Neurospora crassa OR74A: one gene and its partners. The protein of the gene in region 1 purifies or fractionates together with the protein of each later gene. This does not show direct contact. Links are inferred from orthologs where the notes say so. Each region holds a gene or a part of one and is shown in the gene's direction. Other genes may lie near its edges.

The links.
Region 2: the proteins of NCU03357 (region 1) and NCU02147 purify together in Saccharomyces cerevisiae (affinity purification with western blotting; 3 studies listed by BioGRID, with this or other methods). This does not show direct contact. The link is inferred for Neurospora crassa OR74A from reciprocal best matches to the Saccharomyces cerevisiae genes UFD2 and VMS1.
Region 3: the proteins of NCU03357 (region 1) and NCU02680 purify together in Saccharomyces cerevisiae (affinity purification with mass spectrometry; 3 studies listed by BioGRID, with this or other methods). This does not show direct contact. The link is inferred for Neurospora crassa OR74A from reciprocal best matches to the Saccharomyces cerevisiae genes UFD2 and NPL4.

What each region holds. Positions count from the first base shown.
Region 1 is NC_026502.1:987,752-992,068, reverse strand, and holds the start of NCU03357 (ubiquitin conjugation factor E4), read left to right. Parts: upstream 1-1,304; coding exon 1,305-2,059; intron 2,060-2,121; coding exon 2,122-2,335; intron 2,336-2,394; coding exon 2,395-3,797; intron 3,798-3,853; coding exon 3,854-4,317. UniProt on the Saccharomyces cerevisiae protein: E4 ubiquitin chain-elongation enzyme specifically involved in polyubiquitin chain assembly.
Region 2 is NC_026501.1:1,082,703-1,087,093, forward strand, and holds NCU02147 (ankyrin repeat and zinc finger domain-containing protein 1), read left to right. Parts: upstream 1-1,375; 5' UTR 1,376-1,585; coding exon 1,586-3,535; 3' UTR 3,536-3,716; downstream 3,717-4,391. Other genes in the region: NCU16330 (hypothetical protein), read right to left, coding at 24-345, 415-476. UniProt on the Saccharomyces cerevisiae protein: Endonuclease that cleaves polypeptidyl-tRNAs downstream of the ribosome-associated quality control (RQC) pathway to release incompletely synthesized polypeptides for degradation.
Region 3 is NC_026501.1:3,179,463-3,183,911, reverse strand, and holds the start of NCU02680 (nuclear protein localization protein 4), read left to right. Parts: upstream 1-1,564; 5' UTR 1,565-1,908; coding exon 1,909-2,117; intron 2,118-2,193; coding exon 2,194-3,670; intron 3,671-3,725; coding exon 3,726-3,837; intron 3,838-3,907; coding exon 3,908-3,921; 3' UTR 3,922-3,979; coding exon of another isoform or gene 3,980-3,984; 3' UTR 3,985-4,449. Other genes in the region: NCU02681 (translocation protein), read right to left, coding at 227-484, 558-859, 930-1,035. UniProt on the Saccharomyces cerevisiae protein: Substrate-recruiting cofactor of the CDC48-NPL4-UFD1 segregase. Assists CDC48 in the dislocation of misfolded, polyubiquitinated ERAD substrates that are subsequently delivered to the proteasome for degradation.

The sequences.
Region 1 (4,317 bases):
GAAGAACGGGTATGCATAGGTTTTGTATGTTGGCGTTTGGGATGGATCGGGAAAGCACTTGGAGGTTGTCTTATTGCAACGTCGGGCCTTGGTCTAAAGCTTAGATAGCCTATAGACCAAAGAATATAGGAGACGAATCAAACCTCTGTGTTGGAATTTGGCACGCTTGAAAGAGCTAATAGCAACTGAAAGAACGGCTACATGGTCTAGGTCTGTTTCCCATGGTGTTTTGGACAAGACGGCTTTCAAAGTATCTAGAATGCTTTGACTTTGTTGGCTCCCCGTAATCTTCTTACCTATTCATGTAGATGAGTTGAACAATGACAGCTGCATTCCGCATTTACGGCGAAGGAAAGTCACTGTCACATCCAGCGTTATACTAGTGATTCTAGGGTCCTTCCATGAAAAACGCCAACGAAGAATTAGTTATCATCTTCTTGTCATTCAGCCCGTTTCTGCTTCATTAGGTTGCGAGGTTACCTCTACATAGAAGTACCCCTTATGGTAGACTACATATGTAGTACAATGGTGCTGGTTTGTTTGTTAGCTTGGTACCTAGAGGTACTCCTGGTACACTGGACGAGATCTCCCGTCTTCCGAATTGTCCCAAACCGTACAAGGACTGAATGAAAGGCATGAACAAGATCCAATTCGTTCTCTTTCATTTTGGAGAAATGGAAGCATATTCCCAGTCTGAAAACGCATAGTCTAAGAGGTAGCTATAGGGACGGGAAGTTGATCCAAAGACCCGCGGGAGCTAACAATCGAACCAGTATTGCCTACAGTGCAGTAAATCATGTCCCGCCAAAAGCACTAAATGTAAGTAACGTCCCGAAATACCCCGCCAACCTGTGAACTCCAGGAGCTCCATGCAGTAGGCTTGTTCGGGGCAGGCAGGCTCCACGTCACATTCACAGATGTCAACGTAATCTTGTCAGCGCAAAAGGTGCATGGGAATTGCTACTTCCTCCTGATCACTATCCGAGGGCTTTCCGCTAGAGTATGCTAGAGTCATTCCTTATTACTACCTAACTTTGGCACCCGCACTATCACATACTACTGTGGTTAGCTCAAGAGCGAAGTACCAACCTTGAGCACCCGCAGCCGAAGACAACCTCCAGCTTCGGACAGTCACCTCCATCCTCCTTCTCCTCATCCTTCGCCTCAACCTCCCAACGCACATCCAGCTTTACGTCGTCACCGCCAGCTTGAGCCCTTCTTCTCCTTAGGCTCTCTCCGTCACGATAATCACAATATCCGTACATCCTTAATCCCTTTCCTCTTCGCCCAACGACGACGACAAGATGGATCCGAATCAGCAACAGCCGGCGGCCACGCCGGATGCGCCTGATAAAGAGACGATGGAGCAGATCCGTGCCCGACGACTGGCTAAGCTCGGTGGCCCCAATGTCGCTTCTACTACATCGCCAGCTGCGTCCTCTTCCACGCCTCAGCCTGGCACCGAAACCCCTCCCGCTGCTGCTGCTGTGGCGGCGGCGGCGGCGGCGGCGAGTTCGTCAAAGATCGAAGACAAGGCACCGCGAGTTCAGCCAAGGTCGATAATCAAGCCGGCGTCACGAGATGTGCCAGAGCCACCACCAGGTAGTTCCGCTTCCCGAAAGAGAGAAAGATCCCTTTCAAATATTGATGATATTCCATGCCCACCAGCACCGCGAAAGCAATACAGGGAACAGACGCTCGAGGAATGGACCGACAAGCTACTCACCAGCATCCTTCGCGTGTCTCTCGATCCGAACCAGACCTTCGATAGCAGTGGCCATAACTTGACCTTTCTGCCAGAACTCAGCCAGGAAATTCGGGGCGAGTATCAGGAGCCCTTGCTGTCGATCGACCGATTTCAAGAGGCCGTTATGGAGGCCGGAAGGATCTATCCGCCGCACAAGCCCCTATTCGAATACTTCCTGGCATGCTGGAAGCGGGTCACCAGATATAGGATATTGAGGGCGTCGACTCCTGAGAAGGAAGAAGCCCTCAAGGAGGCCAAGCGCTTGTGCTTCTCGAACTGCATCTTCGCCGTTACTATGCCCGAGATGTTTGGGTATTTATCCCCCGTGTCCTCTTTACAGTTTGCTCTAGCTGACATGATCCAAATTTGAAAAGTCGAGAACCAAACCCAAAGCACGATACCATAGTCCCCTACATTTTGGAAGGTGTTGCGAAGGAAGAAGGCCTCGACATCGAGTTTTACAACGAGGCCATGACACGGATCGAGGACGACGATAGCATTGTACCTCTCTTCACCAAGGCCATGGTGGAAATCAGCACAGCGCTGTCTACCAAAAACATGAACGGCGATTATCAGCCGCACGTCCAGGTGAGTTTGACAAGCGACTTGAACGAATTGTGCTGAGCGTTGACGTTGGAACCTCACAGGCCCTCTTCACATACTCGAGATATCCGGCTCTCGTGAACGCTTTGGCGGAACACCCTACTTTCCTTATGGCGCAATCAGCCCCCAACATTGAACGGTTCACGCTGCTCGGGCCATTCTTCCGCCTGTCGCCCTTACACCCAGAGGCGGCCAGTTACGACTTTGCCGCACCAAGGACTCTTGACAAGGGCCGAATTGGCACAACCCAACAATCGTTACAAATGACGTTGGCTGCCCATCAGGAACACTTGACGACGATAGCTAATGCCTTCATACGAGCAAGCACTAGCTCGAGAAACAAGCTCCTGGACTGGTTCGCCTACATCATGAATGTCAACCATAAGCGCACAGCCACTTATGTCGACCCCAAGACCGTTTCGTCGGACGGCTTCATGGTCAATGTCACTGTCGTCCTCGACAATCTATGCAAGCCTTTCATGGATAACTCCTTTACCAAGATTGACCGTATTCAGGTCGACTACTTCAGGCGGAAGCCCAGATTGGACATCAAGGAAGAGACCAAGCTCAACGCTGACCAAGAGCACTCGGACGCGTTTTACTCTACAAAACTCGAAGGGGAGAACAACTTTATAACAGAGGTCTTCTTCCTCGCTTTGGCGGCACATCAGTATGGCACCGAAGCCACCCAAAACAAGCTAAAGGAACTTGACAAGCAAATTAAGCATTTCCAAAAGAACTTGACCCTTATGGAGGCTGACCGTCCCAACATTGTCGCCAATCATCCGGAACGAGTACCTATGCTAGAGGCGGCGCAGAGGAGACTGATCAAGATGCTGGAGAGCGCCATGTCGGCCAAATTTGCCATCGAAGGCATTATGACCGACAAGACGCTGCAAACGCGGTCACTACAGTTCATGAAGTACACGATTGTGTGGCTACTGCGAGTAGCCAGTCAGTCCGACTACGTCCCATGGAAGAAAATCAGCCTTCCGCTGCCTGAAACTCAGCCAGAAGCTTTCAGGTGTCTTCCCGAGTATGTTCTGCAGGTAATTGTTGATAACTTGAAGTTCACCTTCCGCCATAGGCCAGAGGTCATGGTCTCGGCCATTGGTGACGAGGTCGTTGCTCTATGCATAACGTTTCTGGAATCCTCCGAGTACATCAAGAACCCGTACTTGAAATCGTCGCTGGTTACCCTCCTTTATCAGGGCACCTGGCCGGCATACCATCTTAAAAAGGGCATTCTTGGCGACATCCTTACCGGCACCAAGTTCGCGAATGACTACCTGCTACATGCTGTGATGAAGTACTATATTGAGTGCGAGTCGAATGGTACCAGTTCCGCGTTCTACGAAAAGTTCAACATACGTTTTGAGATCTTCCAGGTTATCAAGTGCGTCTGGACCAATGACCATTACAAGAAGCAGTTGACAGAGTCCAGCAGGTCAGTATATGTTTTGTCCTACGATCTCTTTGCTGAATCCGACTAACTCGACCTAGGGTGGACCGCGACTTCTTCGTTCGTTTTGTCAATCTTCTCATGAACGATGCAACATACGTTCTGGATGAAGCATTGAGCAACTTCCCCAAGATCCATGACTTCCAGCAAAAGCTAAAGGACCCCAGTCTTTCGCAAGAGGATCGCGAAAAGATGGAGAGCGATTTACACGACGCGGAAAACAAGGCCAGTTCCTATATGCAGCTTGCGAACGAGACAGTCGGCATGATGAAGCTCTTCACCCAAACCCTGGCTGAGTCCTTCACCATGCCAGAAATCGTTCACCGCCTGGCCGGTATGCTCGATTTCAACCTTGACCTCCTCACCGGTCCTAAGAGCCGGACGTTGAAGGTTGAGAACCCCGACAAGTATGGCTTCAACCCCAAGATTCTGCTACCGCAGCTCGTGGACATCTACCTGAACTTGGGTTCCTCGCCTGCCTTTGTCGAGGCCGTTGCTGCAGACG
Region 2 (4,391 bases), on another chromosome or scaffold:
AGAAAGGTTCAGAAAAAACTCACAGTAACTCCCAGATTCCCCCAAGTCATGGCATTCCACCCGCTCACATCCATCGTCCCCTCCCATCGCAGGGCCTCCGCCGTGATCATCATGTGCCCCAGATCCGCTACCCACAAAGCAATCAGGTAGTTTTTGACGACTCTGATCTCGGAAGAAGAGTACAGCACGCCTACCCCGACAAGAAAGGCGAGGAAATACATGTTACCTAGTTGGCGGGTGGTGGTGCGGCTGGCGGTGGGATAGGCGATTAGAGGTGAAGAGGAGGAGAGTTGTTCGTGGGTGAACCAATCGGGGGAGAGGATGGCGGGGAGAAAGCCGGATAGTCTGCGTGGGGAGGTGTTAGTGTTTCTATCTGAGAGTGAAATGTGATGAGAAGGAGCGAAGTATGCATACAGTGAGAGAGGTTCGAATTTGGTAAAGACAAAGCGTGGGAAAGGGGGTAGTTGGGAGGCCATTTTGTTTATTTTAGGGAAGGGGGGAATGTGTACGGGTGACGGTGAGTGAGGATGAATAAACAATGCAACAAGCTACACAGGGCCACGCGAGGTAATGCTTTCTGGAAGTGAAGAAAATGTAAGATGAGAGAGGTGTCGTGATGTAGTCCGACGCTTAATGTCTATTCTCGTGGTGTCAATGTTTCGCGGACAACAAAACTATCCGTCGCCTCGTCCCCTTGCTGTTGTCCATCAGGGTCCTCCTCTTTTTGATTGTTGTTCAGGGTAGGCAGCATCCAAGCGAGAAGACGAGTGGAACAACTGCACTTGGCATTTCTTGGATCCAGTCGCTCTAGATTGTATTCTTCCTTTTTGGAACCGGAACCTACCATATTATTTGATCCGCTCTTGTACGTTCTTCACTTGCATCGCGCTGAAACAGGCGTCGTATGCATTGCACATATCGAAGTCCGTTTACCATGCGGCATCAATTTACCGGTAGTGCGTTGAAAAATGCTCGAGACTGAGACGCAGCGTCCGATGAATCTCAAGGAGACAAGAATTAGGTCGACAAGCCGGTCAGGGTTAGGGCTCAGCCGGACAACAAATGAAAGGTACCTCGCGGCTCGCAGTACATATACTTGTGTCGACCCCGTTGGGCAACGCCTTGAAAAAATTTCTCTTCTTTTCCAAATATTTTCGGATTTTCATGAGAGAGCCCACAAAGAGCAAGACAGTTACAAACAGTATCGCTTTGGTTACTGGAGCTTGTGGCGGTGCGCTAGGGTCAAACTGTGACTTCGATCGGATCGGTAGAGGTACGTCACCCGAGATGACTCTTATCGGCCAACGATGTCTAGCGCGATAAAGAATGCCCCACTGATGCTTGCCAGGGAACTTCACAGTTGACGTCTCATAGCTTTCAAGCCCGTCACGGCCAACATCAACATCAACATTAGCATCGAACGGTGACCCGACAATTTGCAAACAAGGTTTATAACAGAGAGGCGCCCCATTCTCAACCACTCGCCGTTACAAAAACTTTTTGCTTCCACTCATCACCAGAAGCAGCCATCGTTCCCTCTCCCAGACGCCAGTAACGCTCACCTTTCCTCATCACATTCGACAATATGGCCAGCAAACAGGAAGACCTCCAGCGGAGGCCCGTCTATCTATACGACATCGACGCCGACATCCTGAACACGGTCGCCCTCAAGTCAGATGCGGACATTACAGCCGAGCCAGTCAACGAAACCGCCAAGCAGACAATCGATACCACAGCATCTGAGCCCACCGCATCGGGGTCGCAAGCCAGCTGTTCACTATGCAGCCTCAAGTTCGACAACGTCCAGGAACAACGAAGTCACTTGAAGACCGATTTTCACCATTACAACCTGAAACAGAAACTCAACGGTCTTTCCCCAGTAACCGAGGCCAAGTTTGAGGAGCTCGTCAACAATCTCGACGAAAGCATTTCAGGTTCCGACTCTTCAGACAGCGAGGATGAAGAAGAGGGGCAGGACAAGGATACGAATATGTTATCTGCCCTCCTGAAGAAGCAGGCCAACATTGTAGAAAAGATGACAAAGGAGGGTGGCGATGATGGTGAGAATGACGGGGAAAAAGTGAAGTCGTCAAACGGGTCGCAACCATTGCTCTGGTTCAGCTCCCCGAAGTTACCCGAGAACTCTTATTATGGCGTCTACAAAGCCATGTTCACCCCAGAAGAGCTGAAGAAGGAGGACGCTATTATGGATGCTATCAAGTCCAGGCAACTGGCACCCATCACCATGGGCAAACCGCCAAAGGACGCCAACGATATCCCACCAAATTACACTGGCAAGCACATCTTCATGTGCATGATTGGCGGTGGACACTTTGCCGCTATGGTTGTCTCGCTAAACCCACGGAAGACGAAGCATGGAACAACCGGACCCCTCAACAAGGAAGCCGTCGTCCTAGTGCACAAGACCTTCCACAGATACACCACTCGTCGCAAGCAGGGTGGTTCGCAATCCGCCAACGACAACGCCAAAGGCGCCGCCCACTCAGCCGGTGCTAACCTTCGTCGGTACAACGAGCAGGCTCTCGTCGAGGATGTTCGCGGGCTGTTGGCCGAATGGAAGGGACTTATCGACACATCCGATCTGCTCTTCATCCGCGCCACCGGCTTAACCAACAGGAGGACATTGTTCGGCCCTTACGACGGACAGGTCCTGCGGGCGAACGACCCCCGCATTCGTGGTTTCCCATTTATGACCCGGAGAGCTACCCAGAACGAGCTGATGCGCGCCTTCATCGAGCTTACCAGGCTGAAAGTACGACAGATCGTCCCCGAGGCAGCCGCTCCGACTACCGAGTCACCGAAGAGACCGAAGAGCCCTAAGCCGGCTGCGGCTTCGAAACCAAAACTTTCAGAAGAAGAGGAGACGCTCCTTTTGCACACCCAACAGATCCAGGCCCTGGTCAAGCGCTCAAAGGTGCCCGCCCTTCTATCCTACCTCAGCACAAACGACATCTCCCTCAAGGAATTCCGCTTTTTCCCAGCAGACCACCACACTCCAACGCCGCTTCACCTGGCCGCATCCCAAAACTCGGCGCCGCTTGTGACCGGTCTCCTCACCCGCGCCGGCGCGGACCCTACCATCCCTAACGGCGACGGTAGGACTGCCTTCGAGCTTGCTGGCGACCGCGCCACCCGCGACGCTTTCCGCGTTGCCCGCTCGGAGCTTGGTGAGGAAGCATGGGATTGGGAAGCCGCCGGGGTCCCCGTCGCGCTATCGCGGGACGAGGCATTGAAGAGGACGGAGAGGGAAAAGAATGAAGCGAAAGAGAAGGAGGATCAGAGAAGGAAGGCTGAGGAGGAGAGGCTGAAAAAGGAGGGACCAAAGGTTGATGCGACGAAGAATGGGAAGAAGGCTGGTGGCAGTGTGTTGGCGGCTGCGATGAAGCTGACGCCGCAGGAACGAAGGGAAGAGGAGGCGAAGGGGTTGACGCCAGAAATGAAGATGAGGCTGGAGAGGGAGAGGAGAGCGAGGGCGGCGGAGGAGAGGATTAGGCGGCTGCAAGGTGGGCAGTAAGTCTAACGTGTGAAGCTGGTGCTAGAGGGGGTGGGTAAGATGAGGGAAAATGTCATGGACACTTTACGATTGCATCTAGGGTATACCAATGTCAAAGCGTTGCCAACGTATGACTCAGTTTGAGGTGAATGGAATTGACTCCCTCTGCCCATCATTATCGGCAACCTTTGGTCAACCAATGAATAATTGATCATGAGCAATTAATTGGGCATGATTCATGGAACAGGTGAGCAAGCCATGCTATTTTAGGGCGATTTCGGCTTATATATAAGATGGGTCCCCAGCCTAAACGTATCTCAGGGTAAGAAGTAGGGCATTGGGGATGGTCTCAATCATCATTGAAGCAAAAAATGAACATCATGTCTATATTTCGCCCTTACAAGACTACTCCTACAACGACAAGCATGAAACTAAAAACAATGCGAAATCTTCCTGGTCTTAAACTATCTGGTGTAAGCTAAACATTGCCTTCATAGTTTATTTTCTTCGAAATATTGCGAGCGAACAACACATCAACAGATCGAAGATTACCTATTTTCATTTAACCGAACGTCTGCTCTGTTAGTATTCGACTTGTGTCGCTAATATTTCGAGAAGAGTCCCTTAAGTCTGGATAGATGACGGGAAGATATACTCCTATCAAGGTTCCGATCATCAGGTATAGCCATATTTTACAAAGCGTTGAGTGTCAGTTCTCGCCGTTCTTGGGTTCGCTCTTGTTTTTGCGAATTTACTTCATTGAAGCGTATCTGATGCATCACGATGGCTAAAAGCACGTTTCCTGACCTGACTGATCCAAAATCACTGGGATACCCAATTCTCAAGGATGCAACTGATGAAGGATCAGGAGCCGGGG
Region 3 (4,449 bases), on another chromosome or scaffold:
AAGACCCGTAAACGACCTGAAGAGGCTCCCCCAAAAAAGTATACCCTTGAATATTTTGCTGCAGGTCCCAACCCATAAACGCCATGGAAGAATGCAATTGCTTGCCCAACACAACCCCACACTGCCCTGCCCTCCCATACCTCTCTTCTTATTGTACAGCCACCCCGGAGATCTCTATGCGAGATGCTCACGTCACTCTCATGCACCGCTCGCTAGGACGTGACCTCTAGTTCTTGCCCTTCTTGTTCGACGGCGATGAGGTGACTGAGCTGGTGTCCACAGGGGTACCAGTACCAGCCTCATCCCCTTCCAGTTCCTTCATGAACTCGCTTCTAACGGTGGCCCTGCGCTTCTCCCACCACTCCTTTTCTTGTGTTGCCTGAGCCTGGATCTCGTCAAGGCGCTCGCGCAGCACAGTGTTGGCAGCAATCTCGTTGGCGGTTTGGAAGATGCTCTGTCCCCAGTTGGGAGCGAGTGCGTTGGCCTGAAGAATCGGGCATTAGCATTTCTGGCATCCAATCATCCGCACGGGTAACCCTCTTCAAAGGAACACACACCTCCATAACAACATCACGAAGCTCTTCCTCCATTTCCTTCTCGGCACGCTGGAACCTTTGCCACAGATCATCGCCGATGCTTCCACGCTGCAAAAGAGAGCTGCAGGCGGCCTTGGCGGCGCGGATCTGGATAATACGGTGGATGTCTTCGACAGCGCGGCGCAGCAGAGCCGCCCGGAGCACACTTTCAGGAACTTTAGGTGCCTTTTCGGATCCGTTCTCGGGCTCCATGTGGAGGAGTGACAGGTAGACGTTGCGTTGGAGGTGAGGACCGAACCATGGTGCGAGGTTTGCGCTTTGCTCTGGAAGAATCAACATGGTTAGGCTTCTATCCAGAGAAGCATAGAAATTTCTGAGTAGGGGGTTGCATACGGGCTTTCCTCTTGCGGTAGATTGTGGAAAAGGTCATGAAGGTGCCCGTCAGGACAATCAGATAGGCGAAGGGGAGCACAAGCCCCCGCCAGTCGACGCTGAACATGTTTCGGGATGGAGTGTGTGTCAAATTGACGGACGAGAAATGATGTCTGTATTCTCTACTCTGGAAGAAAGCGAGCGACTAGAGTGAACCAAGAGGCGGTAGGTGGCGTGAGGATTGTCGTCGTGCAACTGAAGGTTGCCCGGTGATGGATGCGTTTGCCTTTTGCGGTTGTGTGAGTGATGGACACCGACGGCAATGTAATCGTGCTTCCCTTGGTTATCAAATGCAGTGCCCATGCCTGGAAAGAACACCTTGACAACTGCAACGGTGCAGCGCGGCAGGGGGAGCTTGACAATGGAATTTCGGCCCTTGGCGCGCGCTGGCTTCATCTGAGTGGCAGGGGCCCATGCCGCAAGTGGAAATCGATGCCTGCCGCGACAGCCCCTTTCTGTCACTCCCAAGTCTTTGAGGGGTGCGGGGCATTGCCGGGCCGGCATTGGGCTCTCTCTCTGACGTGGGACCGGGAGTTTCTTGGCTCTTCTGGAAACCCAGCAGGCATGCCTCGATTGCTCAGCACTTCCCAGCACGCCCCAGCACTCCCGCCGCCCAGGCACACGTATGACGAACGCCTGAAACTATCGTACAGCGTTGCGTGGAGCTCCCCGCCCTTCGATCAGGTCCCGTCTGCCGACCAACAATTCACCACCCGTATCCCGTCACCAGTTGTGCCTTTACCCCGAGTCCGAGGACCTGGCGTGACCTTGTAGATTTTGCGCAACAAGAAGCTTTATTCATAGATACCGCCCTACTTCCGACGCCTACGACACATTTTAAATTCAGATTCCGGATTATACTCGCCGAACGACAGGAACAGACCAGATCCGTCGGACCCTTTAACAGCCCAGACGTCACCTTTTTTTCAGCCCGCCCACGATGTTGTTGAGGGTACGCGGTCCCGATGGCATGCTCCGCCTGACATTGGAGAAAGATGACACCTTTGCGGATCTTGGCCGTCAACTCATTCCCAAGCTTCCCCCGACTGTTGACCCGAAAACAATTACATTCTCGAACCATCCGACCGGCAGCGACGCCAAGAATCTCAGCGAGGTCGCAAAGTTCAAGGTCGGCCAGACTGGGCTCAGGCAAGCTGACCCCTTGGAACTCTCGCGCTGATCTTGCGATTTATGTGCCAGACACTAACTAGCGACCTGAAAATAGCCATGGCGATCTTATTTTTGTCACCTACAAGCACAACGATGCGGCGACCGACGGCCCAGGCAACGGCGAAGCCACCAAATCCAGCGTGCTTTCATCCACGAACCGCCTCAACGGCAAACCGATCCTACCTGCAGAAGACTTGCCCATCGACCCGCCTCCGCTGACATCTCCGCATGAACATATCAAGAACCCGTGGGAAACGGTGAGGCAGTCGCCTCTGGACGATCGGCTAGACAAGCGTGACGGAAAGATCCCAAGGGGGCGCGATCATAAGATGTGTCGCCACGGGCCCAAGGGTATGTGCGATTACTGCATGCCCCTTGATCCGTTTAACGCAAAGTATCTCGAGGAAAAGAAAATCAAGTACATGTCAGTACACGCATACCTCCGCAAAATCAACTCTGCGACAAACAAGCCCGAGCTTGGGGCTTCGTTTATCCCCCCGCTTGTCGAACCCTATTACAGAGTCAAGCGGGACTGTCCATCCGGCCATCCTCAATGGCCCGAAGGTATCTGCACAAAATGCCAGCCCAGCGCCATCACTCTCCAGCCCCAGCCATTCAGAATGGTGGACCACGTCGAGTTCGCGACGCCCCAGATCATCGACAAGTTCCTCAATCCCTGGCGTATGACGGGATGTCAACGGCTTGGTATCCTCTACGGCAAATATCTCGAATACGATGTTGTTCCGCTTGGCGTCAAGGCTGTCGTGGAAGCCATCTACGAACCACCGCAGGTTGACGAGATCGACGGTGTTACTCTCAACGCGTGGGAAAACGAGAAGGATGTCAACGAAGTAGCAAGACTATGCGGACTGGAGCCTGTGGGTGTGATCTGGACGGATCTCCTGGACGCTGGCAAGGGTGACGGAAGTGCCATCTGCAAGAGACACAGCGATTCCTACTTCCTCGCGGCTCAGGAGATCTGCTTTGCGGCGAGGCTCCAGGCACAGCACCCAAAGCCTACCAAGTGGAGCGATACAGGCCGGTTCGGCTCCAACTTTGTCACTTGCGTCATCTCTGGCAATGAGCAGGGCGAGATTTCGATCTCGGCCTATCAGATGTCGAACGATGCGGTCGAGATGGTCAGGGCAGACATCATCGAACCTTCCACGGACCCCGGTCAAATGTTGGTGCGCGAAGAGGAGGAGGACGATGGCTCAGTCAGCAGGACGCGATACATCCCCGAGGTGTTCTATCGCAAGATCAACGAGTACGGAGCAAATGTCCAAGAGAATGCAAAGCCCGCATTTCCCGTCGAGTATCTCTTCGTCACCTTGACCCATGGTTTCCCTGAAAGTCCCCGGCCGGTATTCACGAATGACGGCTTCCCTATCGCCAATCGCGAATTTGTCGGAGAAGCCCAGGAAGCCTCATCAGTAGCAAAGATTCTTAAGGTGAACCAAAAGTCCGACCAATTCGACGTTAGCAACTTCCACTTGCTCTGCTTTATCCGGCAGATGAGCGTGCTGTCCAAGGTCAGCTCACCGTATTTCCACTTGGGTCCGACAGAATACTGACTCTTTCTCGTAGGATGAGGAGGCACTCCTTTGCCGCGTAGCAACACAACATGACCTTGCCGACGCCTTCCAACTCCGGGCGACAGAGGGGTGGAGGACCCTGCACATGATCTTGGAATCCACTGGTGAGAGACTTCCCAAGCGCCCCAGAACTGAGGATGCTAGTTTTCCCTCGGTTGACAGATCCTACCTCAGCCACCACCCATTGATGCAAAGGAATCACAACTCGACGGATGAACCACTTGCTAAGCGTTTTGCTGCTGTCAGGCTGAACGAACAACGCCCGCCACCGCCTCCACCTCCCGAATAGGATTCGATGGACGTGGACTGAGGATACGCATGGCTTAATAATGTCACCATCAACTCTGATCACAAGGCACGGAGCTGAGGGATCAGGTCCTTCAACAAAAGGCAACACAGGGTTTGGAGCTTCATCTGCGGCGAAACTTTCATTCTGGACCGACCTCGGCGAAACACATTGAGAACATACAATGGACGCATTGGCGTTGACTTTTGCTGCTTTGATGGAAAATAGACATGAACTGGGCATCAAATAAGACGAAAGGGGTTGAGTAATGGAAAAGATATCCTAGTCTAACAGTGCTGAAGATACTGCTCATGTCGCATTGTGGCTCATGAACATAGTTTCTGTATCAATATGTCATCTACAATTGAGGCGCCAGTGGTTTAGTGGTAAAATCCATCGTTGCCATCGATGGGCCCCGCGTTCGATTCGC